Linked DNA regions of Lonchura striata. The protein of the gene in region 2 purifies or fractionates together with the protein of the main gene of each other region. This does not show direct contact. Links are inferred from orthologs where the notes say so. Each region holds a gene or a part of one and is shown on either strand. Other genes may lie near its edges. The genes, in order: POLR3H and POLR3F.

What was found.
Region 1: the proteins of POLR3F (region 2) and POLR3H purify together in Homo sapiens (affinity purification with mass spectrometry; 4 studies listed by BioGRID and IntAct, with this or other methods). This does not show direct contact. The link is inferred for Lonchura striata from reciprocal best matches to the Homo sapiens genes POLR3F and POLR3H.

The regions. Positions count from the first base shown.
Region 1 is NC_134607.1:58,367,308-58,375,534, forward strand, and holds the start of POLR3H (DNA-directed RNA polymerase III subunit RPC8), read left to right. Parts: upstream 1-5,073; 5' UTR 5,074-5,265; coding exon 5,266-5,376; intron 5,377-6,533; coding exon 6,534-6,630; intron 6,631-8,227.
Region 2 is NC_134605.1:22,422,010-22,429,459, forward strand, and holds the start of POLR3F (DNA-directed RNA polymerase III subunit RPC6), read right to left. Parts: upstream 3,101-7,450; 5' UTR 3,079-3,100; coding exon 3,023-3,078; intron 2,620-3,022; coding exon 2,502-2,619; intron 2,196-2,501; coding exon 2,128-2,195; intron 1,984-2,127; coding exon 1,916-1,983; intron 1,647-1,915; coding exon 1,534-1,646; intron 996-1,533; coding exon 852-995; intron 1-851. Other genes in the region: DZANK1 (double zinc ribbon and ankyrin repeat-containing protein 1), read left to right, coding at 4,138-4,246, 4,878-5,031, 5,954-6,071, 6,366-6,462, 7,224-7,333. UniProt on the Homo sapiens protein: DNA-dependent RNA polymerase catalyzes the transcription of DNA into RNA using the four ribonucleoside triphosphates as substrates.

The DNA.
Region 1 (8,227 bases), on a different chromosome or scaffold from region 2:
CAGGGTGGTGCACAAGTTGTGTGGGAACCATGAGGCATGGCAGAGAGTCAGGAGAGAGGGTTACAACTGCTCCACCTGGTTATATCCATGCATCCGTCCATCCCTCCATCCCTCCATCCATCCCTCCATCCATCCATCCATCCACCCATCCATCCATCCATCCATGCCAGTCCTGAGTGTTGATATGGGGCTGTCCCAAGGGCTTTGACAGAGTGATGAGATCACAAAGCACTTGTCTCTCTCCTGTCAATAAATTATAATGCAGAAAAAAACTCCATGGGCAGAAGAGAACAACCCATGGCAAGGACACCAAAAAGCACTGAAACTCCAAGTGCCAGTGGGTTCTGCCATTGTCCATCACACTCTGTTGTGGCTTTTCAAGTAGTTTTCCAGGACAGAACAGGAGCCACATTCATGCCCTACAGATACCACAAGTCTTATCTCTCCATTCTTCTCTTCAGAACTTTTGCAAAACAAGGGGAGGAGGCCCCAGCCAGCTCTCAGTCTCCCTTCTGAGTTTCTCCTGAGATGGCTTCTCCTTTCTGGAGGTACAACTTTGGCTCTCCCACATAAAGGCTGCTGATGGAAAATGCACAGGAGCTTGAAGTACATTTGGCTGGAAGGTGACACTGGGCATGTGCTGCAGCAGAGGAGGCAGGGAGTCTAAAGCAGGCATGATTTAAAAATGATAAAAGGAGAAGAGGGGAAGCTTTGATCAAACAGAGAGTGGGAGTGGGGGTGCCAGAGATGCCTGCAGAGATGGAAGCAAAGGCAGGAGTGAGGAGAACTTTTTATGTGAGAAGATACATAATTCCTTTGGAGTCAATCAAAGGAGGCCTAGAACTGTTGAGATGCAAATTACCACTCACCTCCCCTACCATCCCTGAGACAGTTTTCTCCAAGAGCCATGGGCATATGGGGACAGAGGAGATCTTAAACCAAGTAATTTGGGGGCTTCTTTCATTCTCCTCAAAGGTTCCAACCCTCCAGGTAACTTCAAATATTATTTCCCAGGTTTTCTGTACAATGAAGAGAATGAGAAATGTCTGGTATTTTCTCTGAGGGACAGAAAAACTCTTCAACTCCTGGATTCCAGCAGCTAAAGCTTAAAAAAAAAAAAACAAACAAAAAAAACCCCCACAGCCCAGCAACTGAGAACCATGCTCTGAAATACTGGAAAAGCCCCAATACTGCTGAAAGAGAGTCGAGAGACTTTATGGCTGTGCATAAACAGGTATGTACAGGCTCTGTGGATTCCTGGGTATTCACCACGTCAGTAGTACTGGGAGGAGACAAGTCAGCAAAACAAAGCTGTTCACATCATCTCCAGCAGCAAGACACTTCAGCAGCAGCCATAAATATAGTATAACTCTGAGCACTACCATTAGCTGAGGCAACACCCATATTTTACAGAGCATAATTTGGCTTTTGTTTATATTTCTACATTGAAGACAGCACTTGTGAAATATGGAAATCCTCCAAGGAGAAAACCTAGGTGGGAACAGAGCAACATCTGTCATGCATAGGCAGCCCAGGCATGCACTACTTGGGATTGGGGAGGGGCTACCTGAAGAAAGTGAGACTGGAAATCATTTCCCACAGCCTGGGATGTTCCTGGTGGAGGCTGAAACACTGAAATCCAGACTTGGTTTTGGGGTGATTGTAGCCTGGTAGCGGAGGCAGTGAAGCTTATCTGACACTGCCATCACCAGCCTTCTCTGCACACAATTCAGTTTCCCCAGCATGAAATCAAAGTACCTGCAAGTTTCAGCAAAACACACAGCTGCACAGAGAAGAAGAATGTTATTGTCCTTACTGAGTAGTGGCCCACAGCATTCAGCCCTTGTTGGCAATCACAGAACTGATATAGGAGAGAGATCCTGCACATCTTGCTTGGTGTCAGCACTTCATAGCATACGAAAGACCTCACCAACGGGACCCAAGACAGTATGAAGCAAAGCCTTGCAGACCTGCTGCTCACACAGTTGTTTTTTGGGGGCTGTGGATAAGGCTGAAGGGAGATGTGACTGATTGTATTGGGCACCCAAGAGCCCCCAGTGGGGCATGGTTATTGGAAGCATGGAAAATATTAGCTCAAGAATGCGCTAGAAATGGAAGCATGATATGACTCTGTCTAAATCCACTTCTCTCCATCTCCCATGCTCCCCCAGGTATTTCAGTCTACTATTCCCTGAGCTCATGCCCCTACTTAACCCTACAGTTCTTATATACAAGCATCCAGAGTGATCACCTTGCCAAAACCAGCAGTGCCTAAATTCTCTTTGTCTGATACCAAAGCTATTTCTTCCCCTGCTGTCAGGACAGGGTTGAGAACAATTTCCTCTTCTGAGTGAAGTAGCTATAGACACCTGCAAAAGCTGCACTAGGTAAAGGTCAAACCTTGCATTGCCAGACCTACATGAGGCCAGGACAGAACAGCAAGGGATGCAGCATATGTGCCAACAAAACTGTGCTGTGCCGAGATTAGTGCAGCTGTGACTGCAGTGTGGGAGAAAGGAGCCTTTGTAAGGCTCCCTGAAGTAGGACAAGAAAAGCAAGAAACACTAGGGATTTGGGTTGAGGTGTTCTGATAGAGTGGTGTCTGCTGTGCTGGCAGCAAAGCTCCTTGCTGAGACAGTAGATGTTGCTCCAAGAAAAAATGCTGCTTTTCCCAGGAGACAGGGGAAATCTTATTTCTGGGCCCACTATTTAATACTAACATGCCAAACATGGGCAGACCAGCCATGTTTATTTAAAAAAAACCAACATCCCCACAACCTAATAGACCCTAATGAAACACAGTAATTAAGAAGAAATCAACACCTCCTTATCCAAGACAGGTACCTTCTTAATGAGGCCTAACTAGGGTATTTCCAACCTTGTTTCACCCTCCCTTTCCCAGACAACTCGATGTTTAATGATTTCTTACCTAAAGTGCTCTCCTTACTGTCCCACCACATGCTGCTGGGGAGCGTGGGGGATGACACACTTAGCCTTAGCATCAAAGCCATGATGCTGACAGTGCAGTTTTCACTGTCAGCCAGGGATGTTTGGTTTTCCTGGTGGATCTTTTTTTAAGCACACTTCAAACAACCTCCTTTCACTTTCCCTGACAAACCTTAGACGTTAGTGCACCCCCCTTGTTTTCTGCCATCCCTCATGCTGCTTCTCCCTCACTGCAGAACACACCGAGGCCTCAAAAATTATACCATGGGGGTTGGTTTCTCTTTGGCAATTAACACTCACAAATTATGCCAGCTCTGTATGGTGGCAGTTTGTCCCTGAAAAAATCCTTGACCTAAGCATTGGGCAGACAGAGCTGTGAGGGACTTCCAGGTGCAAAGATTATAAACCCACCCAGGTTTGCTGGAGATGTGGGCAAACAGCTGAAGAAATGGCAGAGACTTTCATCTTTGGGCTCCTGAGTGCAAGACAGACATGGAGCTCCTGCAGCAGGTCCAGCAGAGGGTAACAAGGGTAAGGGGGGACTGGAGATCTTCTCTTCCAAGGAAAGGCTGAGGGAGCTGGGCCTGTTCAGGCTTGGGAAGACTGAGAGGGGACCTCATCAATGTGTATGTCCATGAAGGGCGCCAAGAGTTTGGAGCCAGACTCTTCCTGGTGGTGCCAAGCAATAGTGAAGTAAATAAACGGGCCAGGAGACCTTGTGCTCCTTTCTTGAGAAGGCCTTTATTAAAAGGATAGCCTATGGGGGTGGGGGCTCGGGGTTCGCGACGGATCGGAGTCTTTGCCCTTGAAGGATATGTCAAAAGATTCACTTTGCAACTCGTTGATCTAGGGGCTTTACCTCGCTCTGGCTCCTTTGCTTACAGCAATTGCTTCAGAAATTCTGCGGGTCCTCTCCAGCTCCTGGAAACTTTCCCTGCACGTAGGTGTGGATCATTTTGCTGTCTCTGCTCTTGGCTTGTTGTCTGGCTATATTCCGATTTATGTTGAAGTCCAAAAATTGATATACAGTAGACACTAGGCTCTCTGGGAAACGGGAAATCTTCCCTGGGAGCAACTTCCTGGGAGCAGCTTCTGAACTAACCGACGCAGTGTAAGGGACAGAAGGGGCTTCAAACTACTAGAAACAGCAAAACAAACTGGTAGGATTTCTTCTATAAGGGATTTTAACAAAGGTGTCAACGGCAGGAAGGGATACAGAGGCTCCGGGAGTTAACTGGGGATGCAAACTGGGTATAGGGCAAATACATAGGGGTGGAACTAACAACTACATGAACAAGGGAACTTCCAAACTGTGAGGAGGTAAGCAGACAAAAGCTTAGACATCAAATCCATTCATAACAATAGCACAGCAAGCAATGGGGCAGAAAGTGGTGCCCAGGGAGTTCCACCTGGCCGTGAAGAACAATTTCACCGTGCAGGTGCCCGGCCGCTGAACAGATCGCCCAGAGAGGCTGTGGAGTCTCCCTCACTGGAGAGGGAGCCCAAGAACCCTCTGGATGCCATTCCTGTGCCATGTGCTTTGGGATGAACACCATATCAAAATGTCTGGAAAACACTTTCTAGCACAATCTGAAGCATTAGAAAGCAGGCATTCTTTATCTGCACAGGGCACATAGAAGACTGTCTGAAAATTTCTATTCTCTGTGTTATTTATCAACCCTGCTTGAGCAGGGAGGTTGGACCAGATGCCCCACCGTGGCCCCTTCCTATCTGACCTGTTCCGTGCTTTTGTGATCTTTGCTGCCTTATCTGGATTGAAGGTTACGAAAATGATAAATTAAACCAGAATAGCCGCAGTCGAGAACTGTTCTAGCTGTGGCACAGGAGAGCGCGCCCAGGTACCCACCTGCTGGAGGTGGAGGGGAAGGAGCGAACTACACAGCATCCCTGCAAAGGACGCCAGGGTGCCGAGCCCCTTTCCGCGTTTATATTGGCCAAAACCAGCCCAAACCCGGAGATCCTCGGATCCTTCCCCGCTCCGGGGGCAGCCGGGCCCGCCCCGCCCGAGGAGGGACAAAATGGCGGCTGCGGCTGTCAATCAGGGCGCGCGACCCGCCAGCCGAGCGCGATTGGCTGCGGCGGCGCCGGAAGTGGCGGGGGCGCGCGGCGCGGCTCCGCGTGCGGCGGGGCTGAGGGCCGCTCCCGGCCCCGCTCCCGGGCCCGCGCCCGATCCCTTCGGGATAGCCGGGACCCCGCCCCACCGGAGTGGCCCCGCACCTTGGAGCGCCTTCCCCTTCCCAGCCTGGCCCTCGCAGCGCTCCAATTCCCGAGGTTGGCGTCTCCTCGCCCCCCGCCACCATGTTTGTCCTGGTGGAGATGACTGACACTGTAAGAATTCCTCCCTGGCAGTTTGAAAGGAAACTGAACGAATCTATTGCTGAAGAGCTAAACAAGAAATTGGCCAATAAGGTAAAACAGGGGTCACGTATAGGTTGATGTAGGCATCGCAACGTCCCCGAGCGTTCCTTCCTTGTGTTTGTGCCTACTGAGGTGCGCGGGTGAGATGTCAGAGTTGTTTGGATGTGAAGGCCATCCCCCGCGACTGTAAATAAAGAGACAGCCACGTATCATCTCAAAGGGGACATTTTTCTAATGGCTGATGTTGTAATGGGAAGATACTGAGGCACCAGATGGGGCAGAGGAGCACGGAAGAGAAGTGAGAGCAGCTGCTGGTTTGTGTTAAAAGAAGCAATCCAAAACGCAGCCTGAAAAACAAGTGCAAACTAATCCATCCAGTGGGGAATTTAAAGAAAAAAAACAACTATATAAACACATGTCGAACACTAATACTGGAAGAGAAATGATGCTGTTAGTAGCTGATTTAGCCTGTGCTTATTAATTGAAATACATGATGGCAATAAGAAATTAGTCTTTAATGCAGCATATAAAAAGTGTTTTCTTGTGGCCCTGGAGGTCAGAGTTTCCCTGTGCAGTCCCAGGACTGTGATAAGTGTACGGCTTTCAACATGGAGCAGGTGCAAAACTAAAAAATGCAGCTGTAAATGTGAAAGGAGCTCAAAAGAGCAAGCTGAAGGGATCTAGGTTATGAAAAGCAAAAGTCTTCCTTCATCCACTGATGACTGGTGGATGCCTCAAATTTCATAGACAGTGAAGCTGTCTCAGAAGTAGCAGAGAAACCAAGAGTTTGCCCTGTGTCTCCCCAGAGCTGATATAATGAAGATAAAAGGCAAGCCTGGAGGCTTCTGAGAGTGCAACTCTAGCAAAAAGCGTGTTTAGCATTTGGACAAACTGAGGCTGGTGAATGATGGGGAGTTCTTTACTGTCTTAGCAGCTCAGGTTCTCTCACCGCTGACAATTTCCCCAAAGGTTTCTCTTTGTAGCAGCGTTTTTTCCAGTGCCAGTGAAAATGTGTTCCCACAACACTTGGATTGGGGTTTCCCTATGCTGCTGGTGGTGTTGAAGGCAGTGTTCCAAAATAACCTCCGTCCCTCTATTGCTGCCCTTTGAAAAGGTGTGCAAAATGTATGAATTCCATAGTTTGCTTGATTTTACCTGGTGGTTTGCTTGATTTACTGCTCTTGATTTTTTTTTTTTTCTTTTATCAGGTTGTATACAATGTTGGGCTCTGCATCTGTCTGTATGATATCACAAAACTGGAAGATTCATACATATTTCCTGGGGATGGTGCATCACATACGAAGGGTAAGTGCTTTTCCTCAGTTACATTGTGTTGCAGAAGCTTAATTAATGATCTGGAAATGTAAGATGAGTTCAGTTGTTAGAGACAGTGACAACGTTAAGTTGACAGCCTTAGCTCTGTTCCTGTTAGGAGGGCAAGAGGAACATGGTGAAAGTCTCTTATTTTCTTTGCTGCTTTGGGTACAAATACAGCTTTAAATAGCCAGTCCTTCTTGCCTTCTCCAGCAGCCCATCTCTGTTCTACAGTTAGAGCCATAGGTGTGGGGTAAGAAGAGGGTTAATTTAATTGAAGGTAGAAAGTCTGCACATAGAAAATAAGTTGTAATAATTGGTTTGCATTTCTCTGATATTTTTTCTTTATGAAGCATATTCCCTAGCTAGGATAAGAAACCTGTTTCTACATGTAGCATTTGCACAGCATTTAATGCTTTTGTACTAGCTGGGAGTTTTACAACACTTTTGTAGAAACTAGATTGGTTCATCATACATTTCTAGTGACTTCTTTTAATAAGAAATTACTCATTTCTTTACTTTGATTCTTGGCAAATCTGAGTGAAAACTGGAAGTAAGTGCATAAAAGCAAATTTCATTTTTTAAAGTTAAAATAAAGGTTTAAACTGGTAAGAGATGCATTTTTCTGGTTTCAGTTTACAGTGTGAAATCATAGGTTGAACACATGAAATATCTCCTGTTAGAAGGGAACTGCACTGACTCTATGTGCTTCCCCTTGTCTAAGGGGAGTAGAACTCATTTCCTAAAAATAAAAGCTTTTCTAATACTGAAGGAGGATAGGCTTTCCTGCTTGCTTTAATCTCCATTCAGCTTCTCAACTTAGAATTACTCCTTGAACTGAAAGAAGAGAACTTTTCTATCCGAGTTTGGGAAAAAAGTCTGCTTTCAGAATCTGGTGTAACACTTTGATAAATCCCGCTGTGTCTGGTAATAACTCTTTCTTTAATGCACTGCCTAGTTTTATGTAAAAGAGGAGCACTGAGGAGGTACAACTAAAATTATGTTTAATTTCTCAGAAGCATTGTTTGACTGCGATTGTCTTAGTGTAGCATTCTTGTAGTAAGTGCCATGTACTTAGTTAGAAACATTTTATCTAGCTTGGAGGAAAAATCCAGTTATGTTAGAGAACCTTGTTTAATCTGATAATACTTGATTTAGAAGATTTAATTTAATGGAAATACAGCATTGCAGACAAATATAAAAGGCAGAAGTATTACAAGAAAGTATAATTTCAACTGATACTCTTGACTGTGAGACATTGTGCTTCCATCATAATTTAATCAGAAGCCAGCCATGCTCCATGTTTATCATCTTACACTTTCTCTCTGTGAACTTCTTGCAAAACTGAGGAGCTGGGAACAGGACACTGCTGATCCAGCTGCTGCCAGAATATGTACAAACCAGTTAGGAACCAGATCTCTTATTCCCATTTTTCTATCTAATCAGTGCCTCTGAAGAAGTTGTAAAAGAAACTGGGTGTTTTAGAGGGCATATAGGATGTGGGATTTTGTTTTAATGGCTGCTACCCTGTGGGAGGACTATAGTTTACTAACATGGGCATAACATTAATGATCTGTTTTCTTTTAAG
Region 2 (7,450 bases):
TTTGTGTCCTAGTTTAAGACAATTATACGGGGTGGAGACTCCAAAATGAGTTATCTCCCCTTTAGTTTTAACCAATCTTCTTCCACCAATAAGAGACAAAATGAGAGAAGATAGAAAGGGGAAAAAATACTAAATAAAAGCTAACGGCCTCTGCAGTTCCTGAACTTCCATGAACAACAATTGGGGGGGGGAGAGGGACAAAACCAAACTTGGATAATTTTATTTAAAACAATTTTTGGCCAAAAGGCTCCTATGCTGCCAAAAAAGCTGGAAAAAACTTCCGGCAAGTTGCAGATCTGCCCCCTCCTGGACAAACAAACGACAGGTGCTGGAAAATCGTGGAGAGACGACCTGACTCCTCCTCGGCTGGAAAAGGTATTGCAAAATTCCCTCTGGAGCAGCTTCTCGGGTATCGACTTGGAGCTCCGCCCCAGGCAATCCCCTCGGGCACCCAGGAAGAACAAACGCACTCCCCCCATGATTTCCCGTTTCTAAAGGGATCCTGCACCTCCCTTCCAGGATAAAACACACAAGTTCCTCTTTCCTGGGTTGTTTGTCTTAGGGACAGTAATACTCTTGGGCAGGCTGGCACACAGAAGATAAGGAGTACACAATTTTGGGTTATCTAGGATAGGCTGTCATTGGACCTCAGGGATAAAAGGCTTCCCTCCTTGCCCAGGGTGGAAAAGTACCCATCATTAAATACAACACTATTCCACCTACTGTGACAAAAATAATAGTCCAGCAGAGATTTGCCAATCTAGCTGCAATAATGGCCAACCCTTATGGAAAACCTAAGCCTTGCTTGGCACCTGTTTACAAAACAAATGGCGGGTGACTTTGGCACGTACCTTACTCTGCAGAAACTTAAAACACTGTTGGTTTAACACCTCCACAAACTCAGACTCGAAGTCCTGGTCACTGTACCAGGCCCCCCCAGTGACGGAGCGATCGGGCTGCAGGTTATACAGCATATAGACCTTCTTCTTGGATGCCTGTGGGAGGGAGATGTGCAGCTCTCAACAATTCCTTCCTTCATAAGGAAGGACTTGTATCCAGATAATCTGCAAAAGAGGTTTATTACTCTTATACCTAAGGCACAGCAAGCCACCTGACTCCAGGTATCCTGAACCTGTTTGTCCCTCAGGTAACACAGAGATAAAGAGAAGATCAACTCATTTTGATTCCTAATCATTTTAAAACATAGTGTTGGAAGACTAGATGAACCCAGCATTTTCACATGAACACAAAAAAGCCACTGCTTTGCTATGTCCAACTTCTCCACCCACACCTGCTTTACCAGACCCAGTGAGAACCACGTAAGTGAAGACAGCAGAGAAGCTGACCTGTGGAGCCAGTATCTGCTGCACCTCAAACCTGCACACTAAAGGTACAGAGTCAAACACTGGTGCACAGCCAAAGAGAAAGCTGGAGGTAAAATGAGGTTTCTCTGTCCCCAGGCCCCTGTTACAAGCATACAAAACATGAAGCAGATGTTTGAAATTGTTACAAAGAGAGTCACAAAATACTCACTGCCACAGATTTAACTGCTTTAATTAGTTTCTTGCTTTCCAAGTTTTTCAGTATCTTGTTGATCTCTGTTAAAGGCAGATTGCTTTTGTACCTAATGTCCCTGCTCCAAATACCTGTTAAAAAACAGAGAAGTGAACAAAAATAAATAGAAGAAACCATTTGTTTCCACATATACCAACCAAAAGTCACATCAGAACACTGCTTGGGTTGCTTGTCTGCCACTCCCAGCAAAAGGGAAGAAATGGAAGAGATTAGGAAACAAGCAGGTATGGGGCATTAGATTTTATATTTGTATTGTCTGAGCAAGCATTTGTGACTTTGGACAGAAATGGTCCCATAAGCAAACAAAGTTAGTACCATTCACAATCATAATTTAAAGTACCTTTGTTGCCTGCGTCCTCTATGATTTGGTAAACCAGCTTCTCTTGATTGTCAGAACCTTTCATCTTACTGTAAAACAAGACAGACACCAGGATTTTTGAAAGGTCCAAAATTTGAAAGAAGTTTGATTTGTTTAAAACAATAATTGAAGTTTCATTTGTTTTAAACAGGAATTGTGTTCCAAACATACTTACCCAGCAGACACAGACTTACCTTGCATTTTGGGAATCTTTGATTCTGTACAGGAGACCTGCACTGCTCCTCAGAAGGTCCAGCTGCCCCTAGGAGAGATGGGCACAATGCATTTACTTTCCTTCAAACAGCTTGTTTCAGAGGGTATTTTAGAAAAATATTCTGAAATTCTAGAGCAAAACCATTGTTTAATGTCAACTAAATAAAGAAAAATAAAAACTAATGTTTCTAACCACTGGAAACAGTAACAGCCTTGAGGATATTTTTTTCCCCTGACAAATTTCCACTTATCATCAGCTATCAGAAATAACAAACAGTTCCTGACCCTCCCCATCCCTAATGGGCCTGTGGTTATGTGTGTGCTGAGGAAGATGAGGAAGGCGGGCTGTCCCTACCATGGAGAGCAGCCTGTTGATGGCCACAGCTCTCTGCTGGGCTTCCATGTGAGGCATGTCATTCTGGATCACCTGGTCCGTGATGCCATGGGGGAACTGGTGGCAGAGTTCAATGATCCTGCAGGAGGAGAGAAGCGACTTTAAAAGCCATGTTCTGCTGCATCCAAACCGTACTGGAGTCAGGATGGAAGAGGGTGACAAGAGCAACTCCGGGGAAAAGTATCCATCAATTACTTCTTGAGGGAGCTCGGCACCAATCCCTGTGCACCGTTTCCCTTTCCAAGACCAGAAAAACTCCGGGACAGCCGAAAGTGACCTGACCCAACCCTCACTGCCCCCTAAGCACCTCCCAGCACGAAGCTCCCCGTGCCCCTAACAACCCTCTCCTCCAGCATCCATTTCCTGGTTAACACTCGAGCGTCGAACCACCCCACAAAGGTCCTGAACGACAACGCCCCGCCACGCCTGCTTCCCCCAGCCCCAAAACCCGTCCTCTGCGGCCTTCACACAGCCACCAGCACCTGCTCTCGATGTCCATGGGATCGGGCACCTCCGGCTTCACCTTCACCTCCGCCATGGCACCGCGGGCTCCGGCGCGCCGAGATGACGTCAGCGCCGCGCCACGGCGGCGGCGGCGTCCCTGGAAACGGAGCGGCGGGCGAGCAGGGCCGCACGCCGGCGGTGGAGCGGGCAGAGCTGTGAGGCCGCGCCCTGGAGCGGCGGGGAGCGGGCGGGGTGGCGGTGCGTCCCGCCAGGGATGCGATCCCAAAAGGCTGGAGCGGAGCCTGGGTGTGCCAAGGGCGTGAGGGGAAGGCTGAACGCCCGCTCGGGTCGGGGAGAGCTGATCGCCCGTGCTTGGTGGTGTGTGTCAGGGGATGGACCAGGCTCTGCTCCGGGGTGCCCGAAAATGAGACAGGAGGCGACAGGGAGAATCTGGGACACGGGAAGTGCCGCACTTGCACGGGAAAGGTTCACCCTCGCCCTGTAAAGGTGGAACAGATTGCCCAAAGAGGGTGGGGAGTGTCCCTCACTCCTGCATTGATGAGTAGCATCAGAGCTGTTTCTGGAGCCCTGGAGGTGGTGACAAAACCAAATCCTTGTAGCACAGACGTGTTTCCTGGCCCTGAGTATCAATTCCCAAGATCTGGAGTACATATCTTTGTTTTGTAAAATGTCATTGTATCCAAATGCAATTTTTCACTCTTGAATTACATGCCATGATAATGACTATGTATATCAGGATAAATCAGGTTTTCATGGATATATTCTGGATCCACATGATATCTGGCATAAGCTTAAGAAACAGCTGTTTTTCTTTAGTCCTTTCCAGGGCATGCTGTACTCAGGTGGCCATAGTGGGACGAGGCTGGTTTCACATATGACATGGTGAGGGTGGAGATTCCTGTCCCTTACTCCTTCCATGTATCACTGACATGAGGTGCTGGAGCTGTTCTAGCTCAAACACACAGAATCACAGTCACAGGATGGTTTAAAGAATCCAGTTTTCTCTCTTTTAAGAGAAACAAATGAAGACCAGGAGTCATGCTAAATGACTGTTTCTCAGTGCATTCTTCTTTTTAGTTAAATGATTGTCTGCCTTTTTACTTTTCTATTTTAAAGATCACTGCTGAGAAAAATGACAGCTGGCTCTGTCTCAGCTCCTCAGATCATCCCACTTCGAATCCCACCTCCAGGGAAAGCTCAACGGGAAATAGACACAAATACTCTCATAGAAATAAAATCAGGTATGCACAAGAGCTTTAACTCCACCTCAAACCTGTACTTATGTGTCCATTTGAAATATTTGGCATTTATACTTTTTTCATATTTAGTCATGATTTTTGTAGCATGCATTTCATTAAGGAACTTAAAAAGTTAACTAACAGGTTTGATGCACCAGATACACTTGCATGTAATTTTATTTATCGCAACAACATTACTGACATATGTGTAGCAGTCTTAATTGCTTCCAAGGCCAAACTTTTAAGCTGTTGCATTTGGCTTTGACGGCAAAAACAGTTCTTGAAAGAATCATGTGCCAGGCTCACTCCCAACATTGTCGTTACAGTTTTTGAATTATCACCTTTTGCTGTGGCAGAAAATACCCTTTCTGTTGTTGGAATGGACAAGCTGCTGCAATGTTTGTGTGCAAAATCGTTTTACAGATACTTTTCTGTCAGAAATATTGCTTATAATGAAATTGCTTTTGTTGAATAACTGATATTTCATGGAAGAAACAGTTTTGATCCCAAATATTTGGTCTCTTATGGAACTACTTTATTTTCTTTATGTGAGCAAAATCAAGCACTGTAGTGAGTAATTTGTTTTTCCAAGGTTGCCTACAGTCTGAGGAATTACTTTTTCTGTTTCTTTCAGATACACCTGAGGCCTCTATTTATTACACTTTAGATGGAAGCAAACCAGAACTCATTAGGAAACCTGGCTATGGACCACATAACACTTTGGAGTATAAGGGTCCTATCATATTACCAGTGGGGAAAATAATAGTTAAAGCCCTGGCAGTTACAAAGTGAGTATCCTGTTTTGGTTTATTTTTGGCAAGGGACAGACATCCCTGTCACAGCTTGTGTTGTCTAAAGCGTTCCATACCCTGCAAGTGAGAGATTAGCCTTTCCCCAGGCAGTTTGCAAACTCGTGAATAGCACTGAGTTGGCTTTCTCAGGATAATTTTTATCCATCAAGTGTTTGTGTGATTGGATAACCTCTTGGGTGTTTTCTCCTGGACTCAGAGTGTCCAGTGATCCTGGAGGCTGTGGGTGAGGAGGTGATGTACTGAGAGCTCATCCTTTGGAGTGTGACCATCAGAAACACCAGAGAAACCAGGCTGGTGTTTCTGGGGTCATCCAGTGGTTCAGTGGATTTATAGAAGCTGGTTTTCCCAGGAATTTGTTTAGCTTCTCCCAAAGGATCACAGAATGCCGAACCTCACAGCTTAAGTATACAACGTTGGTTGAAGCAAAAATACAATACACGAAAAGAAAACTGGATTTTGCTGCACTGCCACTGACTTTGTCAGAAATAACTTCATGCTTAGAGACAGAGAAAGGACACATCATTTCTCTGTCTGTACTGTATTGCATTATCTTTTATTTCCAAGGGAGCAGGAACTTCCACTCCACTTGGAGATTTGTGTCTGCTGTTCCCTGTTAGCAGCACCTGCAGTCAGCCTGTGCTTGTGGCTGCACTGCAATACAACAACATTATATAACACTCAAAACCTAGGCTTATATTTATTTTCTTGCCATCACTGCCTAGACTAACACTTATTTGCAGTCTGTTTATATTAAGACATTTTCATAGATTCACTATAATGATATAAATAAAAGCTTGGAAGGGATGTTCCACCTAATAAGCCACATCCATCAGTGATTTTCATGTTGCAGCATACAGGTCTGTGTTGGATTCTTAGCTGTGGGAATATTGATTTTCAGGGACTACAGGGAGAGTTCAATTGTGACAAAGGTGTTTGTGGTAGAGTACCAGCAACCAAACATCCTTTTCCCGGTTGAAGATGATGACAAGAATTTCCTAAAAGATATAGCCACACAGGTAAGTTTTGGAAATTGTAACCCCTTGTGTGATTGTAAAATGTTGTATATATGATATTACTTAGAGATTAAGCTTTGACTGCCAGTTTTATTCACATATATAATTTTCTCTGTTTGCCCATCTTTGCTGCTTTGGTCCTTTCTGTAATATTAAAATTAAGCTTTTCGCATGCTTGCATTGAAAATAAATACCTTAAACATGTACTTTTAAAATTTTAACAAATAACTATAGCAGGAGAGGATGAGAGCAAAAGCAAAAAAATGTATTTGTAATTCAAATGGAATTACATTTTAGAATAAGGAAGGTGGAACATTTACTACAAAACCTAAGAAGAATAGACTGAATGTGGAAATCAAGCCTGCCTGGGATGAAACATCCCAAGACCTTCAAGGTAAGTATCACTTCATAAAACTGAGATAGTCTTCTATTCTAGCAGAAAGTTGCAAAGAGTTTCCCTCTTGTTTTGCTTGTAAAATGTGGGTAATTTTAAAATCCTCTCAGAAGACAGAGCATCCTGTGGAAATTCCAGTTTTGATTGCTCAACACTGCAAATAGAGAACAGAATTTACTTTGCATACATTTCACATGACTTCTTAAAAACATATTAAAACATCAATCATTTCTCAGCAACACACCAAAGCCCTGTCTGTATTTCCCTTTGTGCCAGAAGATGCTGTTAAATTGATGGGATTGCAAATCCTTTACAGAGTTTCTTTACTGATGTTTGCTTGCAGCAAGATTCCAAAATAAATACACTGAGCAGAAATGAAAGCTTCACCCAGATTTTCTCTGTAGATAAAGTCTCTTATTCCTTGGCAACAGCAATGGGACTGTTTTAGAGCAGGTAACTGTATTAATGTTTACTCATTAGTTTACTCTTAGGAGCTGGGATTTTTCTTCCTTCATGCAGGAAGGAAGAAAACTGTAAATAAATTAAAATACAAAAGTAAGCTCTGTCAGAGAAGTGTGGGGGTTCTCCTAGTTTAATTTCCTGTGATTCTATGCAGCTTATTTGAACCCAAAATGTGCATGCCAAATATGTTTTTGATTATGCTTAGTGAGAGTATGTAACATTCCTGTTTAGATATCTATTAACTGCATGAAGTGGGTGACAGTGGAATAACAGGATTGTAATTTTAATCTTGGAAACAGACAGGCCTTCTCACAGGTCCCCTCAAGGACCTCAGCTCCTTGCCAGTGGTTTGGGAGCTGCAAAGCACAGAGAGAAATCCACTTCAGCACAACCAGTGGAGTCATTGCAGGTGAGCAGAGGGCTAGGCGAAAGTTGTGCAAGGCTGTCATCAGGACAGAGGTCTAAAAAAAGGAGGTGAAGATTGGTGATCTCTCTCAGCTAGTAATGACTTTGCCTGGATTCTACA